Cricetulus griseus: one gene and its partners. The protein of the gene in region 4 purifies or fractionates together with the protein of the main gene of each other region. This does not show direct contact. Links are inferred from orthologs where the notes say so. Each region holds a gene or a part of one and is shown on either strand. Other genes may lie near its edges. The genes, in order: Pttg1ip, Stx6, Snap29, Stx7, Napg, Stx8 and Vamp3.

Region 1 (4,118 bases), on a different chromosome or scaffold from region 4:
TCCAGATCTCTATGTCCAGAACCGAAAGAACTGAGCTCCAAGAAACACATCCTGAGTTCTGGCCACCCTGGGCCTCTCTACCACTAGGAAATCTAAATCCCCAGAGGCCAGCCCCCCTCCTCCTCCACAGGCCAACTTTAGTGTGGATCCTGTATATCAGAAAGCATGAGTGGCAGGCATCCTGGCTGCAGTAACTCCCAGACTCATGTGACAAGGCAGGAAACACTGACAACTTGCTGCCCCACAGCTCACATTTCAGGAGGCCACACACAGTATCTCTTACCCCACCACCCCATCACGGGACACAGCCAACCACACACTGGAGATAAGAACAATGTCCTCGCAGTTCCTCAGTGCTGATCTTCAACACCCTGACTCTGAGGCATTATGAATTAAGAGCTCAGTGTAGGTGCTATTTACTCATTTTTTTAAAAGATTTTATTTATTTATTATGTATACAACACTCTGCCTCCATGCATGCCTGCAGGCCAGAAGAGGGCACCAGATATCATAACGGATGGTTGTGAGCCACCATGTGGTTGCTGGGAATTGAACTCAGGACCTCCGGAAGAGCAGCCAGTGCTCTTAACCTCTGAGCCATCTCTCCAGCCCTATTTACTCATTTTTAAAAGAACTTTCAGACTCATTCCCTTTAATAATTAAATGGAAAGATAATAAATATGACTCATTTCTGAGTGGGTCCCTGACGTTTCAGGTGAGTCAACAGAAGGCATCCAGGACAAAGGGACACACCTACACATGTGGGAAGGGGGTGACTTTGAAAACTAAGGAAACAAACATTATTTATTATAAACCTATGATACTGAAGGCCTCATGCTGCTGTCTTCTGTGCACCGCCCCGCCCCATAAATGTGGAAGGGCTTAGTGCCTACTCCAGTGACAGAACTCAAAAGAGCACCTCTACTGTCATATCAGGAGAGTTACGCTTAGACAAAGTAGTCCCGGCCACCTCGATATTTGAGGAGAAAAGCAGAGGAGGAGCAGGGCACCACAAAAGGGATGCATGCAGCAGCATCCAGTACAGTTCACTGGGGGGGGGAGGGGGGGACGACGACAGGAGATTGCTCTGCAAACTGCATTGTTCAGTAAGGACTCACCACCTGGTGACCACCAGCAGCCAGCATTGTGCCCGAGTAGTCCTGTGGAGGATGACAACTGCAGTCCTTCTAGGGACTGTTTTCCCCAAGACGAAGCTCTGAGACAGTGACTCCACACACCATTAGGAAGGGTACAAAAGCCCTACCAAAGTGCCCTCAACTTCAGGAATTTCACTCTCAGGCCCTTTAGCCCATTACAGGTTCAGATGTCAACCCACCCACGAAGCACACACCCACAAAAATATATATATATATATATTAAAAGGTGAGTTTTGCCAGACCTGGTGTTGCACACCTTTAATCTCAGCACTTGGGAGGCACAGGCAAGCAAATACTGAGTTCAAGGCCAGCCTGGCCTATTGAGACCCTGTCTCAAACAATAACAAAAAGGGGAGTTTGGGGCCACTGTGATGTATTCTTTAAATTTATGCAGTATCCTTAAAAGACATATTGTTTTAAACATCAGTCATCTTCCTACAGAATGTCAGCTAGTAGAAATCTCACAACCAGCATGTTCTGTGGTAAGACATGGAGGATGTGGGCGCTGTCCTCATTAGAGCATCCCACCAATGTGCAGACACCCCTGAGCCACTGGGAAGGGGTCCTGTGTCTCTACAGGCTCTCCAACATTCTGCCTGGGGAATCTGACCCCAAGTCCCCTGGAGTCATCTGAGAGGAGGGAATCTCAACAGGAAAAATGCCTCCCTAAGAGTGCACTGTAGGAGGCAGGACTGTAGCGCGTTTTCTTAATTAGTGATTGGTGGAGGAGAGCCCAGCTCGTTGTGGGGGTGTCATCCGTGGGGAGGTGGCCCTGGGTTCTGTAAGAAAGCAGGCTGAGCAAGCCTTGAGGCGCAAGTCAGAGGAGATAACTGGGGTGCAGCAGTCGCAGACCCTAGGCAGACCTGAGAGCAGATAAGAAACTTAAACAGAGCTGCGACAACACACAAAAGGTCACAAAGAGAAAACACACCGTGCCAGGCTAGAGTATAAAGACACCATGAGAGAGACCGAGCTAACATGGTTTGGAAAAATACTCTCTTTCTAGCTGGGCCTCATCAGCCCTCGCTGCAAAGGTCAGGAAGCTGGCCAAGCCAACCCTCAGCTTCAGGCCTTGACACAACCTGCCAGCTCCCCGATTTCCCCCGAAAGAAACAGTACCGGGCTAGAGTCAGGCATTTTGCAAGACTTCGCTCGGCTCCTCATCGTGGCGGCCCCCAGCATCTGATACAGGCAGGAAAGCAGATGCTCGCCAGTGGAACCCCGAATCAGCCGGCTGCTAAGCAGGTGCCAAGGCACCGGTTCCGACTGGGCCTGTGTGTCGTGCCTCGGGGCACGACGTAACTCCGGGAGCGGCCGCCACGCCCGCAGCTCCAAGGGAGGGCGTGAGCGCAGAGGAGGCGAAGCCCGCTGGGCTGGGCTCCGCCCTGGATCCGACCCAGCCGCCCTCCTCCGGGACCCCCGGGCCTTACCCATTGCCGGAGGCTCCTGCGCGGAGGCCATGGGCAGAAGCAGCAGCAGTGCGGCGCCGAGGAGCATCAGCCAGCGCGGCGTCAGCCCGAGAGCAGCAGACGCCATGGTGCGTCGGTGGCGTCCGCGGCCAGCACCTCCGAAGACTCAACCCGGACGCTGAGCTAAGACGTTTGCACCGCCAAGCGCCGAGGCTCCGTGGGCAAACCCGAGGGGCGGGGGGACTGCGAGTGCGCAGCCGCAGGCTCCGGCTCGCCCCGCCCCCTCGCCCTACGCCCCGCCTCCGGGCGCCGCTGAGGCTTCGTGCGCCTGCGCACTGTGGGAAGGGCCGCGAGGGCGGTCTAACGGGAGCCTCAGAGCAGCGCGCGTGCTCAGTAGACTACAAGGCTGGGCTCGCTGGGGCGCTTGCGTAGCAAGGGAGCTGCTGGACTCTCAGGCCGGGTGTGAGGCTCGGCAGCTCGGCTTGCTCCGCATAGGTCCGTTGGGGACAGTAAGAGACCCGGGACCCCGAGGGGCTCTGAGACATGGGACCGCAGAGCGGCGCGGAGCGAGCCGGTGGCCTCAAGTGCAGCCAAGCTCCTTGAGTAGGGCCGCTGGCAGCATCGATTGTGGGTTGCTCCTGCTCCGTAGCCCACCCTACCCTCGACAACCCTGCCCGACCCCCCAGAAGGGCCTCTCCCGGTCCTGTGGATTCTCTCTCAGAGCCGCGTGGGTGTTCACAGGGCACGTTAAGACGGCATCCACGCTGCCTCGAACCTGTTACGGAATGCGGTTCAAGTCCCTAAGAGAGCTGAGGAGGTAGCTTGCTTAGATGGTAAATTGCTTGCCTAGCAACCGATGCACAAGGCCTCCGAGTTCCATCCTCAGAACCTCACAAACCAGTCGTGATGGCGCACACCTGTCACCCCAGCACTTGGGAGGCGGGGGTCAAGAAAGTCAGAAGTTCAAGGTCTTCCTCAGCCGGTCAGACCCTGGCTCAAAGAGAACAAAACGATCCTGATTCACGATGGTTGGAGAATCGAACTTAGACATAGAGGAGCTTTTAGTGAGAGGGTACTTTTCTTTGCATGAACCGGGGACCAAGGCTGAGGGACACCAAAGGTCAATGCGAAACAGTGGCTCCCAAGTGCTTTGACTCACTAAAGACCTGGGCAGTTGTCGAACCTAGCAAAATAGGATACAAGCTCGAGACTGCTAGTTTTCTGTCAACTTGACACAAGCTAGAGTCATCTGAGAGGAGGGAATCTCAACAGGAAAAATGCCTCCTTAAGAGTGCACTGTGGGAGGCAGGACTGTAGCGTGTTTTCTTAATTAGTGATTGGGGGAGGGCCCAGCTCGTTGTGGAGGGGTGTCATCCGTGGGCAGGTGGCCCTGGGTTCTATAAGAAAGCAGGCTGAGCAAGCCATGAGGAGCAAGTCAGTAAGCAGCACCCCTCCATGGCCTCTGCATCAGCTGCTGTCTCCAGGTTCCTGCCCTGTGTGAGTTCTTTTCCTGACTGCTTTTGATAATGGACTGTTATATGGAACTATGAAT
Region 2 (3,500 bases), on a different chromosome or scaffold from region 4:
TGTATATATGTAGACATTATGTTATTTTGTTCTATTTGCATTATCATGTTAGGCAACCGAGTTGTTTGCTCTCAAAATGTTACAATGAAGCAACATTTTTAATAGAGAGTAAGTCGAGCAGGCACAATTGAAAGTCTGTCTTTGTCAGCCAGCAGTTGTCATTGAGGTAAATTATTGTCCTTGAAGAAGAGGAGACGGACACTGTGCAATCCTCCCACATCCAGAGATTTGCTAGGCTCTCTTTCAGTGTTGCTGTGGCAATGTGTTGTGGACTGAAACCTTGATCTTGGCAGTGGGCTTCCTCTTCCTAACCAACCCGTGATGTGGTGGTCATATGCCTGTGTGCTTTTGGCCATTATCTGTTCCCTTATTGGACCTCAGCCAAGCAGAGTAAATCTATCTCTCTTGGTGGTTTCAAGCCCTGCTGACTGTTCACAAGTTGGATCAGCAGGCAATATGGGTAGCTTGACAATCCAGTCTTTGGAGCAGTGTGTTCTCAGAGGCAATGGTCTGGTTCTTTGATTCTGGGCTTTGCTTTTGAAAGTGAATTGTCCCAAGCTGGCAAAGAAACTAGCAGCTGCTGGAGTGCTGGGCTTGGAACCAGGTAAGATGGATTTTAATTGCTTATTTCCGTTTCCCTGGCACCAGTTGATTGTGGAACAGCAGGATGAGCAGTTGGAGCTGGTCTCTGGCAGCATTGGGGTGCTGAAGAACATGTCCCAGCGCATCGGAGGGGAGCTGGAGGAACAGGCAGTGTGAGTAGTGAGATGCCCTTATCTGCAGTGAGGATGAGGGGGGAAAGCCATCCCATGAGACCCTGAAATCCTAACCATGAATTTACATGGCTGGTAAAGAGAAAAAGCAACGTAATTTACAGTTACAGTTTTTACTTTGTTGCCCAAATTATCTCCCCTAAAGAAGCAAATCTACCAGATAAAAGTCACAATGGTAGTTTAGGCAAAGCTGTTACTTTAAAAACCATTTAAAAGCCAGACAAATTTCTTTCAGCAGATTCTTGTTTGTTTGTTTGTTTGTTTGAGACAGTTTCTCTGTGTAGTTCTGGCTGTCCTGGAACTCACTCTGTAGACCAGGCTGGCCTTGAACTCACAAGAGCTTCCTGCCTCTGTCTCCTGAGTGCTGGGATTAAAGGGGTGTGCTACCACCACCTGGCTCTCTTAGTAGATTCTTTAGGCGTACAGACAGAGCTGTAGACTCTGGAGACAGTGCTCCAAAGGGGAAAATAGGCATGAAGAAGCCATGTGAAGGTGGCATAGGACTCTCAGCTGTCATCGCAGGACACCCTACTACATTAAACATAAATTATAATCTTTTTTTAATTAAAAATGTATTTTTCATTTTACATACCAACTCCAGTTCCCTCTCCCTTCCCTTCTCCTGCTCCCCATTATAATCTTATAAAAAACATTTAAATTTGATTTTAACTAGGGAAAACAATCTTCCCCTCAAAACAAAGAAAAAAGCTAAACAAAACATAACTCTTAAAAATTGTTTTTGCTTAAGAACCTTGTCTTTTACACTCTAAAAGTATGATAAACAAAGATATCTTTCTTGAACACTGCCATATATCATTCTACTTTTTCCCCCCTGGGTGGGTGGGGTATCTACTAAGAGGTCTCAGAAAGTACCCACTGCTAATGTTCACTGTTACACATGCTCACTATCAGTTCCTCCTGGGCCCTTGTTCTGCACCAGGCTGTCTGGAAAGCTCAGGGGTACAGGAGTGAGCAGAATAGACTCTGCCTGCCATTCAGAACGTTTGCCATTCCCAGGTACAGCACATATAGTACAAATGAAGGAAGTAGTCCCATGGTGGCAGTGGGGACAGAGCCACTATCACTATGATAGGCTAGTTGGCTGACTGGAGAGCCCCATCTTTTCCAAGAAAGAGGATCAGCTGGAAGCTGTGGAATGTTTGGAAGGAAGGTGGTTGCGTGAGAGCCGGTGCCTGCAGAGATGTCAGCAGGTGTGCCGAGGAAGGTTCAGAGGTGCAGGTGTGCACAGAACAAGGTATTGAGTGTCTAGCATGGGGAGAGGGGAGCTGAGGACCTGATGGAGAGTCAGAGGACAGCAGGAAGGGCCTTGTCAGTGTGATGAGAAAGCAGGACTTTGACTTTTCAGTGTGGTGGGAGGGCAGGAAGGTGGAGTTTGGAGTGATGGCACGAGCAGGGACTGGGATGTTATAGCAGAGTGGAGCCAGGGTGGTGTGCCAGATGGGAATCTAGAGTAACAGGAACCCAAATGCACAGGTTAGTTTCTAATTAAAACGGAAGGGGCTCGAGCCACTTTGTTGGTGAGGCAGCTTGAGAATGAAGACAACCTGAGAGATACAGCTAGTTAAAGATACTGAAGTGACGACAGTCTGTAGCTCCATTCCCTTCAAAGTCACCACAGCAGTAACAGAAATGTTTTTTGTTTGTTTTTTGTTTTTGGTTTTGGTTTTTTTTTTTTTTTTTTTTTTGCAATGATATAAAACCTCTGGAGAACATATAACAGGATACATCAGTTATACCAATTTAGATGATGGACAGCAGGCAGGCAGCAGGTTGTGGATTCAATAGGCCAAAGGAAGCTGACCCCTGAGCCAGTGGGGAGTGAGCAAGAAGCGGTGTGCGTCCCACCACAAACCCCTCAGCTGTGACTAGCCTGCACTTAGGTGACTTCATGTTAATGGTGAATATTGATCTAATCCAATTGTGGCACAAGTGTATCAAAGAGAGAAGTGAGAAGGAGTCAGGGTTGGAATGGCGAGGACGAGGGCTGAACCCTACTCTAACAGTGCCATACCCTCAAGTGAAGTCTGCGGACAAAAGCCAGCATTGTAAGACACAAGCATGCTACTTCACAAGGGGAGAAAGCACCAGAAGCAGCTGAAGTGATGAGAACAGAAAGAACTGTTCTTTAGCATAAAATAGTTTAGCATAAAATCCCTGTGGGCCTGTTTCCTATTTAAAGTGGGTGTTCGTGTATCTGGTAAAAAGAGAGAAGAGATATGGGCCTTGAGCTGATAGATACATGCGCCATGCAGGAGACTAGCCACCCACTTCGTGTAGCTACCGAGCATGTGGAATGTGGCCAGACTGAGCCAAGATGTGCTGCGAGTGGAAAGTGAATGCTACAGTTTGAACATTGTTAAAAATGAATTTCAGAGGCTGAGGATGTAGCCCGGTTTGTGTAGTGCTTGACTAGTGTGCACTAAACCCTGAAGTCAGCGCCCAGCAGTTTATTGGCCAGGTGTGGTGATTCACACATTTGCAGAGTAGAAGCAGGAGATCAGAAGTTCAGGATCACCCTTGTCAGTTTGAGACCAGCCTGGACTGCGTGAGAGATCTTGGCTCAGTGTAAACCCCTTTAAAAGCACAGCTGCCAGAAAATGCAAAGTGCCATTTGTGACCTGCATGGTCTTTCTGTTGGGCAGAACCTTGGCTGTGGCTGTCCTTGCCTGAAGATTGAGTGGCATGCCTGTTTCAGCTTTAGCAAGA
Region 3 (3,500 bases), on a different chromosome or scaffold from region 4:
CTTGGTGACCTAGAGCCAGTCAAAAAAACCTGTCCCCACCAGAGATGGCAAGTATGAGATGACAGTAGGTGGGGAAGAAGAGTTCATCCAATTTCCATACACTGCAGGTGTCATGTCCAACAGTTCTAGTCTGAGTCCTTCTACTGAAATACAGGACAAGAACTGAGGACAGGAGGGGAGAGTAATGAAGGCAACACATTCCTTTTCTGGGTCTAACAGGGGTCCTTTTCAGGGGGAGAAAGCTACAATGTGCTCAGTGTATGTGCAGGCATATCGATAATGATTGACATACAAAGATGTGGAAGGACCCTTCCTTCTGCCAAAACCCAGGGTCACTTTACATGAATTCACAGTAAGGCCTTGGAGTGAGAAACAGCGAGTAAATAGAAGGCAATAGTTAGGAGACTGACTGACATCCTGCCCACATCTTTGCATATACTTGTGAAAGAAAGAAATGCACGGTTTTCTTCTTCCTGCACAGTATCAAAAGCTCAAGGCATTCACAATTAGTCTGCCCAGAACTTTAGAGGTGTTGATCTTACCCAAATGTGTACACACACATTTTTTTCCCCATTGAAACTAAAATTTCTTAAGACCCACATTTGAACACATATGTTAAATTACATACTGTACAATCAATGACATTTCTTAGGAGTTTAAAAGAGGCTTTGAATCTTTTCATCACAATGGAGTAGAATTCCTTTTCAGTTTCTTTAGAGCTGCCGAACTTTTTTTTCTGTGCTTTTTATATTGACATCTAACTTGTCCACTTTGGTTGTTAGCCGGTCAAGAATGTCATCCTGCTCCTCAATTTCCGTCTGCATTCCTAAGGCTATGTCCTTGAGTCGGCCCAATCCCATGGACAGCTCATCTGTGAGAAGGAAGTGATAGGCAGTTACAGTGTCTGCAGGGGCTTCTTGCCCCTCTGGATGCTCAGTGGTATCTGGACTGCAGAGTCCTGTCTAAAACCGAGTGCCACAGCCTGTAGCATATGACTCAAAAAACATGGAAGTGAAGAGAAATCTACTTACTACATAGTAATATGTGGTTAGTGTAGGTAGAAGCCACTGTCTACCTCCTCCCTCCAGATAACCAGGGTTAACATGTTTGTTTGTTTGTTTGTTTTAGCATAGTCTTGATAGATAGCTCTGGCTGGCCTGAAAGTTACAATGCAATCCAGGCTGGCCTTGAAGTCAGAGTGATCTCCCTGCTTCTGCTGCCTGAGAAGACTTAGGGTCTCTACCACGTACAGCATTGCTCCCCTAAGTGCTGGAGAATCAAACTTAGGGCCTTGCATGTGCTAGGGAAACACTCCAACACTGAGTCACACCTCCAGCCTCTTTATATTTGTCATGTTGAGACAGGATCTCACAAACTTTCAGGCTGGCCCTGGATTTGCAACCCTATCTTAATCACAGGTACCTGGGATGACAGGTGTTTGCCTGGCATACTATGCTTCTTGAGATCTTTGAAACATGTGACCTTACGTTTCCTGTAAAGTAAAAGTTTAGTGGTCACTCACCCAGGCTTCAAGAAAGCTTCTTGGGTTTGAGACAGTAAGGACAGGAAAAAAGGCTGAGATAGACCAGCCTGGTGGGCTGTGGGACATGCCTCTGTGGATATGAGCACTTGCTGGGCAAGCATGAGATCTGAGTTCAGCTCCTTCGCACTCACATCAGCCGTGTGGCTTTATCCTGGATGCTCTTAAGCCCCAGGGATGCTTAGGTCTGGTCAGGAGTCAAGAAAGTAGTGAGGATGGCTTGGCTACAGTGACAGCAGGAAATGGGGAGAAGTGGACAGATTCCTGACAGTGAGGCAGTACTGGGCGCCCTGGCTGTGCTCAGCATCAACTGTCTGGAGGCTGCTGTAGCTCCCAAACTTACCTAGGTTGTTGTCGATCTTTTGATGATAGGCTCGAAGACTTGAGTTCTTTGGGTAAACCTCAGCAGTCACAGCAGAAGCAGGCCCTTTGGGGGTTGGGTCTAGTTCAGAAAGAAACACCAGAGGGACAGTTCACTGACGGTCACTGCTCCATGAAATTGGCCTATTCTTTTCTGAAGTCCTAGGAAACTGTCCCCAGTAATCACTCATACCAGGAAGGAACTAAAGGGGTGGGAGGAAGGAGGTAGCTGCCTCTGAGGCCATGCAGAGGGACAGGAGCGGGAATGGGACAGGGGTTATAGGCTGGAGAAGTCAAGTCTGAGCTCTGGCTGGTCCTTCAACATTAGCAGATTAAGGACTCTCAATTTACAAGTCAACAGGTGAGATACGGAAAGAGACATGACAATACAACAGGGAACTGTCAATGCAAAGCTGCAGGCTCACAGGCAAGCAAGCTCTGGAAGACAGGTTGGTTTTTTGTTTGTTTGTTTTAATGCTTAAGATTGGAACCAGGGCTTTGTGCATGCTAGACAAGTTCTCTCTACTGTAAATCCCGTGAACTCCAAGCTTACCTCAAACTCTTGTACTCAAGCTATTCCTGCAATATTTGTGACTACAGGTGCATACTACTACACCAGGCAGAGCTGGCAGAGACAGCTTTAAAAATCAAAGTTGTTGTGTGCCCGTCTATAATCTAGCAGATAGAGCAAGAATATCAGAATTTTAAGGTCATCATCTACTAATGAATTTGAAGCCAGACCGGGCTAAATGAGACTCAGTCTCAAAAGAAACAAAACCACATCAAACCATATAAAACATGAAAAAAGCAAAGATGAAAATCATTGCCTGGTGTGGTGGTTTGCAGCTGAAATCTCAGCACTTGGCAGGCTAAGGCAGCAGGATCATGAATTCAAAGCCAGCCTGGGCTACACAGTAAACAATCTCAAAGAGACTAAAGGAAATGAAGTTATGCTACAAAACTGAGCTTACTATTTTTGTTTTTGCTGGGCCGTGGTGGAGCACACCTTTAATCCCAGCACGCCAAAGGCAGAGGCAGGAGGATCTCTGAGCTTGGTCTACATAGTTCCAGGACAGCCAGGACTACACAGAGAAATCCTGTCTCAAAAAAAAAAAAAAAACCAAAACAAACAAACAAAAAACAACAACAACAACAAAAAAAAACAAAAACAAAAACAAAGAAAGAAATTCTATTTCTAAACATATACAGAAATAACCTCTGTCCTCTTTTGAGAGTCTTGTGTAGCTCAGGCTGGCCTTGAATTTGGTATGTAAGTATGTAGTTGAGGTGGCCCTGAACTACTGATCCTTCTGCCTTCATCCCGAGTGCTGGAATTACAGTTTTGTGCTACCACACCTAGCCTCTCCTTTTCTTTTCTTATCTTTTGAGACAGGGTTTTCCACTGTGTTCCAGTATGGATTTGAACTCATGGTAATGTTTTGCCTCAGTCTCCCAAGTGACTAAAACGCCTAGTATGTTTGTTTGCTTGTTTTTGGTTTTCTGATAGCCTGGCTATATAATCTAGGCTGGCCTCAAACTCAAACTTACAATTTCCCTGCCTTAGCTTCCCAAGTACTGGGACTACCTGGACCCAATATGA
Region 4 (4,127 bases):
ACGACATTCAAAAGACAAGAGTTGGCCCTTCTGATAAAATACAAATAAGAGGGACAATGCTATCTTTGCTATTAAAAAAACATACAAGTACATAGTTATCGATAAATGACTTAAAAGTTTATGACTTTTACAACTAAGCTAATTAATTCTATGTTTATACAATGTTTGTGCTCTGTAACCATCCCCAGTACCTAGCTTGAACTGCGAGACACTAAAGTATTCTTTTTATAAACCCATTTGGAATTCCTAGTGCCTTTGCAAAAAATAATTATATAACTCATCACCTGTACCTGCGCTGCCGGTAGAGTAGCTACCATTGACATGGACTATTAAAGTGAATTAAGTTACATGGCAGCCACCCAAGTCACCTTTCAAGTGCTCAGAAATTATATGCGGCCAGTGGCCAGCAGCTTGGACAGCTCACATATTCATTTCTATCGCCCCAGAAAGTTCTACTGGACAGCGTTCAACTCAACATCTTAGTAATTATCTTTTTATGAAGATATATAAGCACTATAAGGTGAAAGAGGAGACCGGAGATCAAAGTGCAACGCCCACAATGAGATCTGTCTTAAGACTGTGTCTAAAGAACAAAAAAGAAATGAACAGAGAAATTTTTGCTACAGAATATTGAATGTAAACTACTGCCCTGGAGATACTGCTGAATCCTTAAGACTTCCACTAAGTATAAACTGGTGTGAAATTCAGCCTGCTCAAAACAAATGGTCAGTTTCACTTTCTTAATCGTGCACACCATGGTAATACACTGGACTTCCTTCTCCCTTGTCTCCCACGGTTTTTATTTGTGTGTCTAGTGCTGTACTAGGTGGAGTGTAAATTGTGGACCTGTTCTATTCTCTAGTACATGGCTACAAAATAGGTCAGGAATCAATGTTTGTAGTGGGAATGAACAGGTTTACCAATTTCCTAAGAACACATACCCAGCCTGAGAGAAAATATTAACATTTCTAAAACACTAAATGACAGGTGTATTGCTGCTTTGGCTTTTCTGGGTGCCATTTTCCTATCTCTAGAAGGCCCCCCCCCACGGTGCTCACGTGAGCACCAGCTCCTTTTCTCAGCAAGCTGTTATCACATGCTAGAAACGCCAGAGGTGAAATGAGAAGTCACTGCTATTGCTCTCTGTCAATGTACCTTCTGCTTCAAACCATTTATAGTACTTAAAAGACCCAAAGATCCACAATGCTTATTTTCAGTCCCTAACACAAACAAGAGAGGGAACAATCATCGGACATAATCAATGGAAGTGAGGGCCTCCACCTTCCATCCGTTCCACAAGCTACCAAAGCACACTTCAGCCCAGCTCCTTCATCAGTTAAACTATTATGTTACACTATTTGGATTTAACTTACTTTACCAAGGATTTCCCACCATGGTTTTACCCATTAGTATTTCAAGTTACACTGAACCACAGCAAAATCCACTCAGACTTAACTGTAGGTGTTCCGTCTAATAATAATAGTAGACACAGCAATAATATTTTGCAATGCTGAGAACTGAACCAGGGTCTCGTGCACACTAAGCAAGCACTCCACCACTGAACTATGTATAGCTAATAATCGTGATCGTTAATAATTTCCAACCAGCAGCACTTGGACGAACTTGGGCTCATAATCAAAATTAGAAATGACTGCTAATCAGGAAGAATATAAGAAGTAAACTACCTGAAGGAAAAACGACGCAGACGAGTTAATACAGTGTCACATTAACTTCCCCAGACACTGGGAAACTACAGTCTAATTCTTAACTAGTCACAAGCCTGGGGCCAACTTCGGAAGCGGCAAAGCCAAAGGCTTTCACATGACAAGACACAATTTAACAGTTTTATCAGTCTCTGCCCAGTGCAGCTCAGAGTGCACATAAAAAAAAAAAAAAAAAAAAAAAAAAAAAAAAAAGCCTATATCCAACAGGACCAAATCGAACAGTGTTTCGCGGTTACTTCCTTTTTTTTTTTTTCTTTTTTCCTGATTGTGGACCACCTATAAATGACAATTATTGCCAGAATACAAGATCTGAAGTGTGTGTGTGTGTGTGTGAGAGAGAGAGAGAGATAAAATCCGAGACAGAGAGAGGTATATAAAATCCAAGCATATTACAAAATCTGAAGGGAAAATTAGCATTTGACTAGGAGGCTATCTCCCTCTCCACCCTTACCCAAGCTTTGTTGTTGTTGTTGTTGTTCTGAACTTAACCTAAAAAACACAGATGCGAATTCTTGAAATACTTTTGTTAAGGGTCTTGGGGGTAAATCAGTTAAAGCCATGCACAATTAAGGTCAAAGAAAGTTAGCTTGTGGAAGTCACCGCCAGCAGCACAGCAAACTCAAGGGGCCGCAGAAATAACCTGTGGCCAGATGACCAGGGCCCAGGGCTCTGACTTTTCTGTTCTGGAAGGGAAGTTGACAGAGAATGAGGAGCTGGCGATGGGATCGGCGCCCAAGGCTGACAGGCAGCCGGGGTTCCCTGCCGCGCACCCGCCCGGGAGTGCAAGCTCGTCGCGTCCCCGAGTCCGCGGCGGGGCGTGGGCGCCTCTTCTCGCCGGCCCCGCGCCCCCGGGGAGCCCGACTCTGCCGGCTCCCAAACACAGCCACCGCGGGCTGAGCTTCTGGGGCGCCCCTCCCGGACCCCCCGGCTCTGCAGCCTCCTCTTACCCTAACCCCATCGGCTTCCTTCTCCTTCTCCTTCTCCTTCTCCTGCAGCCGCTGTCACCCAGGGGCCCACAGCCCTCCGCAGCTAGCTTCAGCTGATGGGCGGTGGTGCAAGCCCGCCCACTGCGCATGCTCGGGGTACAGCCCAGGGAAGAAGGAGGCGGGGTTCGCTTCTCTCCCATTGGCCAATAACAGCTAAAGCTTGAAGGGACTAGCAAAATTGCTACGGAGCAATGCCTTGAAGCCTGACACACTGATGGTGAATGTCTACGTGCAAGAGAAGAAGGGATACAGGAGAGCTGTCTTCTTCACTCGGTGGCGCCATGCTCCCTGGACTCATACCCCATCAGCTCCTGCCAGTCCTGTTTCCTAACCCTCAACTCTGCAGTCGACTTTATTAACAACCTCATTTTAAAATGACACACACACACACACACACACACACACACACACACACACACACACACACACACACACACACACACACACAAGGTCAAGGCAATTCTGGCTGAATCCACGAAAGAACAAATGAAGAATCGCCTCTGGGTGCTCACTTGGTAAAGATGTTTTCTTAGCTCACGATCGTCCTCGCATCCTCGAAATACAGGAAGCAGTTTTCCCAGGCTTTAAGAGCACAGAATGTTCCAACAATGAGCATCAGTGGCTCGGGTGAAAGACATTCTTTGCAAAATTAAGACGGTGTTATTTTCTGAAAAGAGCATGAAAACATGTGATACCAAAGTACACAAGAGAGAGAGAGAGAGAGAGAGAGAGAGAGAGAGAGAGAGAGAGAGAGAGAGAGTTGAAGGGAATCCAGAATACTTCGAACCAGAACCACAGAGAAAAGTACGTTGGTTGGTTTTACACATGCAAGCATACATAGATGATTTAGGTCAGACTGATGCGCTCGTCTTCCAAGCAGGATCCACACAGTGAAGTGAGTACCCTGGTCAAAGGACAAACACCCAGTGAAAGCAATGTGATTCAGCTAGAGCCACTGTGAACTTTTGAGTTTGCTTTATTTTGTCAGGTACTGAAGATTGAACCAAGGACCCTGCACACGGAAAACAAAGGCCTTAACTGTGTCCTGTATCCCCAGCCTTTTGTTTGTGAAACAGGATCTTCATAGGCTGCCCAAACTAATCTTGATCTCACTCTATAGCACAGTCAGGCCTTGGACTTTCAACCCTGCCTTGTCCTTCTGAGCAGCTGGAACTAGAGGCCTGTGTCATTTGCCCAGGTTGTTTGAGGTTTTGTTTTCAGGTGCTAGAAACCAAACCCAAGGCCTCAAATTTTGGAAACATGATCCACCACAGAGCTATACCCGTAGTCCCCACTGTGAACTATTAGAAATATTAGCCCAATATAGTGACATTATATGTTTTTCATGATACGGAGGAAATTCCAGTTTCTGTTTTTCAAAATTGTTGTAATTTTAAAAATCATTCTTTGTCAAGGA
Region 5 (3,500 bases), about 67 Mb from region 4:
GACTAAAGTTGAGAATCAAAACAACAGACACAGCAGAAAGTACATCATCTCATGGAAACTGAACAACTTGGGGTCAAAGCAGAAATCAACAAGAAAATTAAAAAGAAATTAAAAAGAAAAAACTTTTAAGGATTGAATGAAAATGAAAACAGAACATATCCAAACCTCTAGACCACAATGAAGGCAATTCTAAGAGGCAAGTTCATACCTACATCAAAAAACTAAAGATCTCATATTAGTAACTCAATGACACACCTGTCAGCTCCACACAAAAAAAAGAAGAAAAAGAAGAAGAAGAAGAAGAAGAAGAAGAAGAAGAAGAAGAAGAAGAAGAAGAAGAAGAAATAAAACCCAAGGAGTAGACAGAAGAAAAAATAAAACTCAAGGCTGAAATTCATGAAACAGAAACAACAACAATAAAAATACTAATAAAAAGAATAAATGAAAGGAAGAGTTGGTTCTTGGAGAAAAAGCAACAAGATTGACAAAACATTAGTCAAATTAACTAAAAGAAAGAGAGAAGATCCAAATGAACAAAATTAGACATGAAAAGAGCAACTTTACAACAGAAACTAAGGAAATTCAGAGAAACATGAGGATATACTTCAAAAATTTCTAATATACTAAACTGTAAAACCTAAAAGAAATGGATGAATGTCTTGGTACATGTGACCTAAGTGAAGTCAAGATGATACAAGCAACTGAAGAGACCCATAACCCCTCGTAATATAGAAGCAGTAAATAAGAAATCTAACCAAACATATCCTAGGCCTTGTTGTATTCAGCAAAGAATTCTATCAGACCATCAAAGAATTAATGCCAATATGTTTCAATTTATTCCACAAAATAGAAACTGAAGAAAATTTCTCAATTCTTTTTATAAGGCCACTATATAGTCCAATACCTATTATGAATACAGATGTAAATGTTCTCAATAAAATACTTGCAAACCAAATCCAAGAACATATGAAAAGATTATCTACTATGATAAAATTGGCTTCATTCCAAAAAAGCAGGCTCAACATACATAAATTGATAAATATTATCTACTGTATTAATCAAACTGAAAGGCAAGGACCATATGACCACCTCATTAGATAAAGAAAAGGCCTTCAACAAAACCCACCACCCCTTCCATGATAAAAGTACGAGAGAGTGGGGATATGAGGGGCATAACCTCAACATAATACAGACAATTTAGAGCAAGTCCATGGCTAACACCAACTAAAATGGAGAGAATTCAACACATTTCCACTAAAGTTGGGAACAAGACAAGGTTGCCCACTCTCTCCATACATATTCAATACAGTAATTACAGTCTTAGCTAGGGCAATAAGACAAAGGAGGAGATCAAGGGGATACAAACAGGGAAGGAAGAAATCAAATATATTTATTTGCAGATGATTTTTGTACATAAAAGACCCCAAAAACTCCACCTAGAAACTTCTACAGCAGATAAACAATTTCTAACACATAAAAATCAATAGCCTTCTTATATGCAAATGACAAATATACTGAGCAAGAAGTAAGGGAAACAGTACCTTTCACAACAAACATACACACACACACACACACACACGCACACACACATGTGTGCGGAATACCTTGGGGTAACTCCAACCAAGGAAATGAAAGACCTTCCTTAAGCTATTGAGGAAAGAAACTGAAGACACCAGAAGATGGAAAGACCTCCCATGCTCTTGTATCAGTAAGATTAATATTGTAAAAACAGCCACTCTACTAAAAGAAATCTATAAATTCAATGAAACCCCCATCAAAATCCTAACACAATTCTTCACAGAAATTGAAAAAACCATCTTTAACTTCACATGGAAACACAAAAAAACACAGGATAACTAAGGCAATCCCATTTAATGATAAAACTCAAGTATCTTGGGTATTTAGGATGCTTTTGTCACTTATTCCAAGAGAAAAACATAAAGCAGAGTGCAATGGCAGATCAAGATAACTCTTCTTCCATTGTACTGAACTACTGTTAGGCAACAAAAGCACGATACATTTTGGAATTTTATGATAGAAAAACAGGTTTTCATTCCATGTGCCTACTCTTTAGAAATTGACCATGTTTCCATTGTTTGTCTAGGTGTAGATAAACTAGATCCAACCAAGGTTATGTATAAGTCTGAAATGTAGATTCAAAATGCACATGATGTATGGGCATACAGTTTTGAAAGCCATACCTTCGTCCTCGTACTAGCAGTCTGGAGGCCTTTCCTAGAAGTTCAACTGCCTGCCGGAGGCGTTCCTCATTCTGGAGGAATCAAAGAAAAGGGAGTGTCGGCAGGGTTAATGTGGAACTCTTCTTACCCTTCCATAACAACTGCATAAAGCAATGCCATGGATGGTAGCACCAAAGCTGCTAGCCCATTCACTAACCTCTAGAAGAAAAAAGGAATAGAGTTGGGCTGTGGACACAGAAAAACCTTAAAAAGAATCCACTGTATTTTTCTTTTCCTATATATTATGAATGAAAATATTATGAGTAATTAAAGAAACAAATAAAATTCTAACTTACTTCAAACACATTAGCTGTCTGCTGATACAACTGTACAGCCTTTTCTGGATCTACATTTTCTATGAGCCTGAATTAGACAGAGAAGACAACTTGTGAGAATTAAGAAACTTGCTTCTTAAAGAACTTTTCAAGACAAAGGAGTCCTCTGCAAAGCCAGGGCATCCCACAACAGCTGTGTGTACTTACTTTCCAGCTCGCTCCAAGGCCATAGCTGCTGTATCTGGGGTGCCATTCTCCAGGTACATCATGCTGGCTTTCTCGATCAGCTGGACGGCCTCAGGCAGTTTCTGCATCTCCTTCAGGAAACGCATGCAGCATGGGGCAGAAAATGTCTCAACTTAAGAAGTGGAGTTTTAACAATTCAATTATTTTACCTACACATGTTACGTTTTGACACACACACACAGTAGTATAGAGTAGGTACCATCTGAGATCTAGGTCTAAAAATCAACAACAAAAAGCCCAACATATGATAGGTGCTTGTAATCTCAGTTCTGGAGAAGTAGATCTACTTCTGGAGAAGTATATCTACAGGTGCATGCCAGGAACTACCAATCAGCCAGTTTAGCATAATTAGTGAGCAGCAAGCCAGAGACCTTGTCTCAATAAACAAGGTAGGTAGCTGAAGACATCCAAGGTTGAGCTCTGGCTTGTGTACACACACACACACACACACACACACACACACACACACACACACACCCCATCTCACTACAACTGGATAGTAATCTGCTATTAAGAAGTACAAATGTGGCATATTGGTCAAAATAGTCCATTATTTCATTAAAAAGGAGTAAGATAAGTGGCAATAGCTAGTTTGGAACTCTCTTTTCCAGCCTGACTTTTAGAAAACCAAAAAATTATAAAGCTAATTTTTCTTTCCATAACCTACAAGTAATTTAACAAAACAAACAAACATCCTTGTAAAACTTTACTACATGCAGAAGCCTTCCACTTCTCAGAT
Region 6 (3,988 bases), on a different chromosome or scaffold from region 4:
GGTGTTACCCGGGGATGCATGGGGGTGGGGGTTGGGGGAATATTCAGAGCCAAGGACTGCTCCCAGGGGTGCGTGTGTGTGCGCGTATGAGAGAGAGAGAGAGAGAGAGAGAGAGAGAGAGAGAGAGAGAGAGAGAGAGAGAGAGAGAGAGAGAGAGAGAGACTGAGTTAGGCACATTCCAATTTCTGAGGCTCGGGAATGAGGCTAAGATCCTTCATCACCGTGGGTGATGCCTGGCTAGGCTCTTGCCACTGTCCCCACGGCCTCTCAGGTGCCACCAAGTCAGTGTCTCACTTGTCCCTGGGGTATTATGGATGCTCCAGGCCTCACCATTGAAGCCGATCACAGCCTCAAGCTCCAGTTCGGCTACGTCGGTCTCGGTTTCGGGTAAATTTTGTTCTTCCATCTTGGAGAATTTCAACTCATTGATTCCTCAACTCCTGGCTGCAGCGTCTTTTGGTCGTTATGGTAACTGGCGCACGCATGCGTGCTAGGTTTACGCTGGAGCAGAAATCCAGCCCACTGAGTTCGACTTTATTTACCTTTTTGTAAATGTAGGGAGGGCTTCCTTATTATTTTTTTCACTCATTCTAGAAATTTAGGTGTTAGGTGAATACTGAATATGCAGAATGAATTCCCTCGTCTCCCGTGTAAACTCTGACTTTTGTCTTAACTATAAAATTAAGCCTCTTATGGTAACTATTAAAAGTAATTGAACACAGAGAATTGCCTCTGATGCGTAGGCTGCTATTAAAAAACAAAACAAAACAAAACACGGAATTGATACCTCCTTGTAAAAGAATTCTTTTTGAAAAGATCACTTTAAAAATTTAAGTACAGTATGCAACTATTTTCATGTATGTATCACTATGAACGTTGCTTGTATGAATATTTCCGGCTTCAACCTTCCAAGCACGGCAAATTCAGGCGCGAGGTATCACAGCCGGCTTGCTCTGTTGTTTTTGAATCAGAAAAAAAGAAAAAAAAAAAATGCGAAGAACTACGAGAGCCGGAGTCTGAAGCGCTTCCATCCCTGGGAAAAGGTTTTGATTCTGCTCAACAATTTAACCATTTTCCTTGCGTCCAGCAGTTCGTACGAATTAACTAAAAATCGATTGTTGCAATCCACTGTCTCCCAGGGGTGAGCTTTGGTTGGTGTGGTTTTGAGGCCCCTAAAATATGTTTTCTGTGCTGTCCGCTGGGCTCGGGTCGCGCACCTTCCGAACTGCGGGGAATGAGCCGCGCGGGCCGCCGTAGTCAGCTGCTGTGAGCAGGAAGTGTCCCAGCTGCAGGCGGAGACTGCACCATGGCCCCGGACCCCTGGTGAGTTGCTGGTGTTGGCAGTAGTTTGCCGTAGGACTTGGGGTGGAAGTGGCTCCCAGGGATTCGCATAAACCCTGGCCATCGTTGAACTTGAGGCTGTCAGCTTTTAGGGGTGAGCAAAGCGGGTGAGGATCCTTTCCCTGTTTTGGGGACCCAACCACATCCCGCCTCCCCGGCGCTAACTCGGTGGTCGGAGGGGGACACCGTGACCTGGGGGAGCTGGGACTTGAGCAGAATCGATATTTTCCCCCGCCTTCTGTGGGGGCTTCTCGCCTAACCTGCCTGTGGATGACTGCGTGTGTAGACTCCCCTGGGGTCCTGTAAAAGTGAAGTAGAAATAACCTTTTGGTGGGATGTCTCTGCCTTCACCCATTAATCCCCAGAAAGGGAAGAAACTGAGGTTCAGACTCCATGGTCCCCAGCCAGTTAGTAGTTAGCTGGGCATAGGTGTAATGGGCTCTTCACAATAAGACTTGTAGCAATCTGGGAGGGAAGTTTGCACTTGTGATAGGCAGTTTACCCTTTCCTGTGTCAGTATCATGAAGACTTAACGTCAGCAAGAACTAGTGCAAAAGTCAGCACCCGATAAGGGCCATTTATTCAGCAATGAAGCCCCAAGGAAAGAATGAAGAAAATGTGTTCACACAAGGAACACATTGCTATACAGTCTTGACCTTCCTGTTTAATAATTTATAACATTGTATTTCTATAAAGTTCTTGTTGGAGGATATGCCTTATGTGGGTGTTTCTGGTACAGTTTATAATTGTTTGATGGCAGACAATTTTAAGTATTAGGAGAGTGGATCCCAAGGTCAGAGTTAGAGTTACCTGGGATTTGAGATATTTGGGCTAGTTGCTGAAATTTTCTTGGGCTTTCATTTGTTTGTGTGCTTTGTTTCCATTGTCTCAGAGAGCCCAGTCTGACCTTAAATTCCTGATCCTCTTGCTTCAGTCTAAGTGGTTCGATTACATGCAGCCACCATGCCCAGGAAATTGCTGAATTTAACACTTCTTACTCCCCCCCACACACAAGTTTCAACAATTGTGTACACCCCTGGTAGAAAATTTGGAGACTACTGAGTATCTGCAGGAAAGAAAATAAATAGCATCTTCATCATTTGGAAAGAACCAATGTTAACTTCTTTTGAAGACTTTTATTGTTTGAATCTATATCCTGCTTGTATTTTACACAACAGGAAGCGTGTCTCCATATCATTAAGTAGTATTTAAAAATGATTTTTACATGCATATCAGTACATCATCTGAATGTTCATATATTTCAGTTTTTCTCAGTGGTAGAACTTACTACATGCAAGGCTTTGAGTTTGGTCACCAGCAACACAAGAAAGCTTTCAACTGTCAAATGAGAAAGCCACTGAGTAAAACAATTGAGACTAACAGTAAAAGAGTTCTAATGCTTCAGTGTCTTGGGGTAAAATTCCCCTGAGTCAGATCTCATTAGACTACTGTGCCAAGTTCTGTAGAAACTGACCTCTGCTAATCTGTCCTATTTAAATGTACCCTGCTAACAGGGCCAGTACTTGGTCAGGCATGCTTTCTTCAATTCTTCTGTGCTTGTGCTTTCCATGGTGTTTAGATTTCACCCCTCCTTCCAGTATGGAAATCTGCTTTAGTCTGGAAGTCAGCCCAAGATGTCCTCTTGCAGCCCAGCCAATCTGAGCACCTCTGACATCAGTAATGTCTCCCATCCTAACTCCAGAGGTACTTAATTTAGGTCTCGTATTTGATGGAATTGTGTTATGGATTTTATATGTTTGATCTGCCCTTACAGAGCAAGACTAAGCTCCTGTCTTCATAGCTGATAGTGTGAAGGCAAACAAGTAAAATGTGGGGAATCCGGGGCTAGGACTATTTTCCTTATTGCCTCTCTTTTTAAAAAATTTTATATATAAGCCAGGTGGTGGTGGCAAACACCTTATATCCCAGCACTCAGGAGGCAGAGGCAGGCAGATCTGTGTGAGTTTGAGACCAGCCTAGTCTACAAGAGCTAGTTCCAGGACAGCCTCCAAAGCCACAAAGAAATCCTGCCTCCAACACCCCCCCCAAAAAAACATATATAATATATATTAACCACCTGCTCTTTTTCATACACATACCTATACCTGAATATACTGAATGATGCATATTGATGTATATGTGAGTCTAGGGTTAGGGGTGACACTGTCTCTGAAGTGCTTGTGAAGTTCACAACAAAGTTCTCTCTGTAGGACCTGGAGCCACATCCCCAGCCCAAGTTAAACACTTTTCTTCTTTCTGATGCTGGTGATTGAGTCTCGTGCACTGAGCTATGCCTTTATTCACTTTTTAAAAAAGTTTGAGACGTTTCGTTAAGTTACTTCAACCTTACGGTCTGCTCCTTTAAAAGCTTCTCTCTTTGGCTTGTTGGCGTCTCATTTCCCCACCATGGAGTGAGATCCAAGCTGGCCAGCTTGAACAATAAAAACAAACCTTTTGCTTTTGCATCAGTGTCTACTCCTGGGATTGGTATGGGACTCCTTGAACCTGGCACAACATTTTCTTTTCTTCTCTCTCTCTCTCTCTCTCTCTCTCTCTCTCTCTCTCTCTCTCTCTCTCTCTCTCTCTGTGTGTGTGTGTGTGTGTGTGTGTGTAGACCAGGCTGGCCTTGAACTCACAGAACTCTGCC
Region 7 (4,281 bases), about 240 Mb from region 4:
AGATAAGTAAGGATCTTACTGTGAATTCACCTTTTCTCGTGTACCCTGGGTACTCCTAAGTTCCCTGTTTAAGCTCAAGGATGACCTTGAACCTCTGACCGTTTACCTACAACTTCCAAATGCTGAGATTATGGGTGCCAACAGGCTGGGGTTGTTTGTTTGTTTGCTAGTTTGTTCTTTCCAGACAAGGTTTCTCTGTGTAACAGCTCTGGCTGTTCTGAAACTCAATCTGTAGACCAGGCTGGCAGGGAACTCGCCGAGATACACCTCAGGCTGGGTTTTATGTGGTTCTGGGGATCAAACCCAGGACTTTCATGTGGGACAAGCCCAATACCAACTAGGCTATACTCCTCAGCTCTACCGAGTAGTTGTTTTTCGTTTTTTTTTGTTTTAAGCCCTTTTCCGGCTTAGCTCACTTAGGTCTCCCTTCTAGGTACTTTATCATTATTCCGGTCCTCTTCTCTGCAGAGTTCTGCTCGTCTCTCTAGGAGTGCCTCACTAGATGTACCTCAGAACTAGTGCCAGACGTTTTCACACTGAGTCTCCCAAGAGGAGTCCCTGGTACTTTCTGGAGCCCGCTGCATTTAAATGCCTTTGTCTTGCCTGTCTTCACTCTTGTTGTACTTGAGCCCAGCCCCACATTCTCTAGTTCTGTGCTGCACCTCCACTTAACCTAGAACGCGCCCCCCACCCCCCGGCCCCAGCTACCACTCAACCCAATACCCACTCAGGTGGCACGCTCTGCTTTCCAGCACACGTTAACTTTCTGGAATTACCATCCTGGAGTGGAAGACAGCTTGGGGGTTTTCACTTAGGAACCCACCAGCTGCCCTCATCTGGTCTGCTTAAGCATGTTGGATTGCATTGTAGCGGATACTACTCACCTCATTCGACCAAAAGTCCGGGGCCAGAGAGTTACAGAAACCAAGAGAGTTCTCAACGTCAAGGATCCCTTCAGGGATGGTGGTATCCGTGCAACGGCAGACACCTGTCACCGCTAGTGAGAACACGGGGGTGGGGGCTCCAAACGGGCTTCCTCCCGCCCCTTACTTACCTTCCTGGCGGAGGCACTTGGGTTGTGTCCCCAGGACCACTAGGCTACTCTGGGGCGTTAGCACGCACGCCGTTTCTAATGTCGTCACCACCCAGAGACGACGTAAGCAGGCCCAGAGGGCTGTGCAGCGCACCGGTTCTTACTCTAACCTGCCTTTCCAGGGTAGAGACAGGGCAGCGGCCGCGACACCCGACACCGACGAAGCTGCTGCTGCTGCTGCTGCTGCTGCGACGCCCGGGCGGCGAGGAGCCGGTCCAAAGGCGCAGGCGCCGCGCCCTGGCCCCGCCCACTTGTCCATCGAGAACGCCCGCCCAATCCAGCACCGGCGCTGCTGCCGCGCCCAGCTCTGGCCCCGCCCACTCGGGTGGGCCAGGGAGGAGACGGCCAGAGCGCGGCGCCTGGGGCCTGACTCCTGCCCCGCCCACTTCCGGCGCGCCCTCCGCGGCGGCGGGCTCCTCGTCGGTTCCTGCCCGGCCCCTGCTCGTGACGTCACCGCGGCCCCGCCCATCTCCACGGCCTCGGCCGCCGGCTGCCCCAGTCCGCCGCCGGTCTCCGCCGGTCTCCGCCGTCTCCGCCGGTCTCCGCCAGTCTCCACCGCCGCCGCCGCCGCCGCCGCCAAAATGTGAGTGACGCGCTGCGCCGCGCGGCCAGGCGGGCTCCGGGGGGCGGCGGCCGCCACGTCTGACGAGGGTCCCGCCCGGGACGCGGCCGCTCGGGACTCGCACTCGGGTGGAGGCCTCGCGGGCCTGCGCGCAGCGCCCTGGGCCTGAGGTGGGCGGCGGCCCCGCGCCGCGCTCTGCCCTCGGGCGCCGCGCTCTGCCCTCGGGCGCTGCGGGCCCAGGCGTCCTGCCGCGACGTCCCCGAGTGCTCCGCGGCTGGCGGGCCGACGCGGAAGGGCGAGGGTGGGGCACCGGCTTCCAGAGGAAGCGTCCGCCACGCCCCGAGCTTCCTTCCCCGAGGTCCCCGAGAGGGGCGGGGGCGGCCCTGGGCGCTCGCCCGCCGGCTCGCCCGCTCGCTCTCCCGGTCTCTGTCGGCGCCGCGCCGTGCCCAGGCCCAGGCGGTGTCCGCGGAAGCGCTGCCGCGCCCCCCGCGGAGCTCGGCCGTGGGTTTCGCTTCCGCCTTAAGCAAGGAACTCTGTTGTTTTGAAGTTGGTGTCTAGTGGTGACGTTCGCAGGACTCTGGTGACACCGCTTAAGATGCACCCGGTCGGACTGCTGTGCGAATGGCAGGGCCCCAGAGCCGGTCAGAGAATTAAGCTGCACCTGGCTACACCCCAGCCGGCTGGCTGCGTGCTGGTTCTGAATGTTACCGAGGTGAAGGTAATAGTGCCCTCTTCAAGGGGGTGTTCGGACTCAGAGAGAAGCCAGACAGCCGTGAGAAGTGTCGCGTCCTGCTGACAGACACGGTGCAGACTGTCGTGTGGCGAGGCACACCTTAGGTGCTGGCTTAGATACAGGGAAGAGTGAGTCGTTACGGAAAGTGGGCATGGGTGAATAAAGCATTCGGTGAGCCTGTGGAGGATGAATGGCTTTCCAGCAGAGAGAGAATTGCTTTCAGCCCGCCTTTCCATTCACACACACCCCACCATGCACTTGGGCTCTACATCTCCATTTTGGCTATTTTGTGATTGTTTCCAACTATAAGACAGTTCTTGCCACAACAAAAGGATCAGAAGAATACTGAGTGCCCTTAAACGTTTGTGTGTCTTTTAAGAGGTTTTTGGTTTTTTGGGTTTTGTTTTTATTACATAAATACAGTTACCTGCATGTGCCCCTGCAGGCCACAAGAGGGCACCAGATCTCACTACAGATGGTTGTGAGCTGCCTTGTGGTGGCTGGGAATTGAACTCAGGTCCTCTGGAAGGACAGCCAGTGTGCTTAACCTCTGAGTCATCTCTGCAGGCCCTAAAGCAAGCTGAAAGAGAGAGAGAGAGAGAGAGAGAGAGAGAGAGAGAGAGAGAGAGAGAGAGAGAGAGAGAGAGAGAGAGAGAGAGAGAGAGAGAGAGAGAGAGAAAGTAGAGGTATTATCCAGTCTTGGGATCATGCACTTCATTGACACAACAAAAGTTTCAAAGTTTGGTCACTGGAACAGTCTTGGGAATTATTGAGGGATCATAAAAAAACTGCATTGGTGCCTTTATTTCTTACTGCAGGACTGTTTTTACTTTTGTTTTTTAATTTCAGTATAAGGAATTAGTAAGTCCAAGTCCCAGCGTGAACAGGTTATACACACACACATACACACACACACACCATGGTATATGTTCGAGGACAGTTTCAGAGATCCTTGCCTCTCACCTTATTTGAGACAGTGTCTCTTGTTCAGTACTGTGTGTGTCAGGCTAGCTGGCCCTCAAGTGCCCAAAACTGTCATGTCTCCTCTCACTGAAGGAGCACTGGGGTTACATATTTGCCTTACCAAGTCTGGCTTATGTAAGTGCATTGGATATCATAATAGACTCATGTTTGTGCCTTACATCTTTCAGGTCCACAGGTGTGCCTTCAGGAAGTTCAAGTGCTGCTGCTGGCAGTAATCGAAGACTCCAGCAGACACAAAATCAAGTCGATGAGGTACTGCTCTAAAATTCTAAACTGTGGAATTTAAACAAACCCGGGTATTCTGTGGGATTCTATCAGAAAAAGCCACTGGAGCTGGAGAGATGACTCAGTGGTTAGAACACTTTCTGTTCTAGCAGAGGCTCCAGTTTGGGTTCCAAGTACATACTTGGGCCATTCAACTGCCTTTAACTCTGGCCTCCAAAGGCACCTGTGTGCATCTGTGCGTGCGCACACACAAACCCTTAACAATTTTTAATGTTAGAAAAAGAAAAAACATCAATGTGTGAGTATAATTTTGACTACATCAGAAGTCTTTCTAATTGTGTGTTTAGAGGACTTCAGTGAAGATTCTGTGAGAAATTCAGATCAGTTTTCCATATTTTTTTCATATTCTTTTTTTTAAGCTTTTTTTTTATATGAATGAGTGTTTTGATTGCATGTTCTAGAAGCTGTGTTTTAAGCACAAGGCAAACTCTTCCTGGTTTCACTTTTCTATTATCAAATCACATACCTAAAACATGTGAACCTGTCCCTGAAAGCATGTCCCCAGAGCCCCAGAGCCACTTCGTAAGATAGGGTAATCAGATTGTTTAAGCCAGGAACAAGTCTTTCTGATCGGGTGGGATATGTGTCTGTGTCTGTGTTCTGTAGCCAGGTTTACTAGTTACC

The links.
Region 1: the proteins of Stx7 (region 4) and Pttg1ip purify together in Homo sapiens (affinity purification with mass spectrometry; 3 studies listed by BioGRID and IntAct, counting the BioPlex papers as one, with this or other methods). This does not show direct contact. The link is inferred for Cricetulus griseus from reciprocal best matches to the Homo sapiens genes STX7 and PTTG1IP.
Region 2: the proteins of Stx7 (region 4) and Stx6 purify together in Homo sapiens (affinity purification with mass spectrometry; 3 studies listed by BioGRID and IntAct, counting the BioPlex papers as one, with this or other methods). This does not show direct contact. The link is inferred for Cricetulus griseus from reciprocal best matches to the Homo sapiens genes STX7 and STX6.
Region 3: the proteins of Stx7 (region 4) and Snap29 purify together in Homo sapiens (affinity purification with mass spectrometry; 3 studies listed by BioGRID and IntAct, counting the BioPlex papers as one, with this or other methods). This does not show direct contact. The link is inferred for Cricetulus griseus from reciprocal best matches to the Homo sapiens genes STX7 and SNAP29.
Region 5: the proteins of Stx7 (region 4) and Napg purify together in Homo sapiens (affinity purification with mass spectrometry; 3 studies listed by BioGRID and IntAct, counting the BioPlex papers as one, with this or other methods). This does not show direct contact. The link is inferred for Cricetulus griseus from reciprocal best matches to the Homo sapiens genes STX7 and NAPG.
Region 6: the proteins of Stx7 (region 4) and Stx8 purify together in Homo sapiens (affinity purification with mass spectrometry; 5 studies listed by BioGRID and IntAct, counting the BioPlex papers as one, with this or other methods). This does not show direct contact. The link is inferred for Cricetulus griseus from reciprocal best matches to the Homo sapiens genes STX7 and STX8.
Region 7: the proteins of Stx7 (region 4) and Vamp3 purify together in Homo sapiens (affinity purification with mass spectrometry; 3 studies listed by BioGRID and IntAct, counting the BioPlex papers as one, with this or other methods). This does not show direct contact. The link is inferred for Cricetulus griseus from reciprocal best matches to the Homo sapiens genes STX7 and VAMP3.

The regions. Positions count from the first base shown.
Region 1 is NW_023276806.1:261,236,639-261,240,756, forward strand, and holds the start of Pttg1ip (pituitary tumor-transforming gene 1 protein-interacting protein), read right to left. Parts: upstream 2,801-4,118; 5' UTR 2,694-2,800; coding exon 2,588-2,693; intron 1-2,587. UniProt on the Homo sapiens protein: May facilitate PTTG1 nuclear translocation.
Region 2 is NC_048598.1:36,560,652-36,564,151, reverse strand, and holds part of Stx6 (syntaxin-6), read left to right. Parts: intron 1-648; coding exon 649-755; intron 756-3,500. UniProt on the Homo sapiens protein: SNARE promoting movement of transport vesicles to target membranes. Targets endosomes to the trans-Golgi network, and may therefore function in retrograde trafficking.
Region 3 is NC_048597.1:71,888,233-71,891,732, forward strand, and holds part of Snap29 (synaptosomal-associated protein 29), read right to left. Parts: intron 1,983-3,500; coding exon 1,884-1,982; intron 872-1,883; coding exon 714-871; 3' UTR 1-713. UniProt on the Homo sapiens protein: SNAREs, soluble N-ethylmaleimide-sensitive factor-attachment protein receptors, are essential proteins for fusion of cellular membranes.
Region 4 is NC_048595.1:243,359,526-243,363,652, reverse strand, and holds the start of Stx7 (syntaxin-7), read right to left. Parts: upstream 2,801-4,127; 5' UTR 2,672-2,800; intron 1-2,671. UniProt on the Homo sapiens protein: May be involved in protein trafficking from the plasma membrane to the early endosome (EE) as well as in homotypic fusion of endocytic organelles. Mediates the endocytic trafficking from early endosomes to late endosomes and lysosomes.
Region 5 is NC_048595.1:176,130,171-176,133,670, forward strand, and holds part of Napg (gamma-soluble NSF attachment protein), read right to left. Parts: intron 2,833-3,500; coding exon 2,723-2,832; intron 2,604-2,722; coding exon 2,537-2,603; intron 2,273-2,536; coding exon 2,202-2,272; intron 1-2,201. UniProt on the Homo sapiens protein: Required for vesicular transport between the endoplasmic reticulum and the Golgi apparatus.
Region 6 is NC_048600.1:81,830,839-81,834,826, forward strand, and holds the start of Stx8 (syntaxin-8), read left to right. Parts: upstream 1-1,188; 5' UTR 1,189-1,306; coding exon 1,307-1,323; intron 1,324-3,988. Other genes in the region: Cfap52 (cilia- and flagella-associated protein 52), read right to left, coding at 331-406. UniProt on the Homo sapiens protein: Vesicle trafficking protein that functions in the early secretory pathway, possibly by mediating retrograde transport from cis-Golgi membranes to the ER.
Region 7 is NC_048595.1:5,346,201-5,350,481, forward strand, and holds the start of Vamp3 (vesicle-associated membrane protein 3), read left to right. Parts: upstream 1-1,481; 5' UTR 1,482-1,674; coding exon 1,675-1,676; intron 1,677-3,539; coding exon 3,540-3,624; intron 3,625-4,281. UniProt on the Homo sapiens protein: SNARE involved in vesicular transport from the late endosomes to the trans-Golgi network.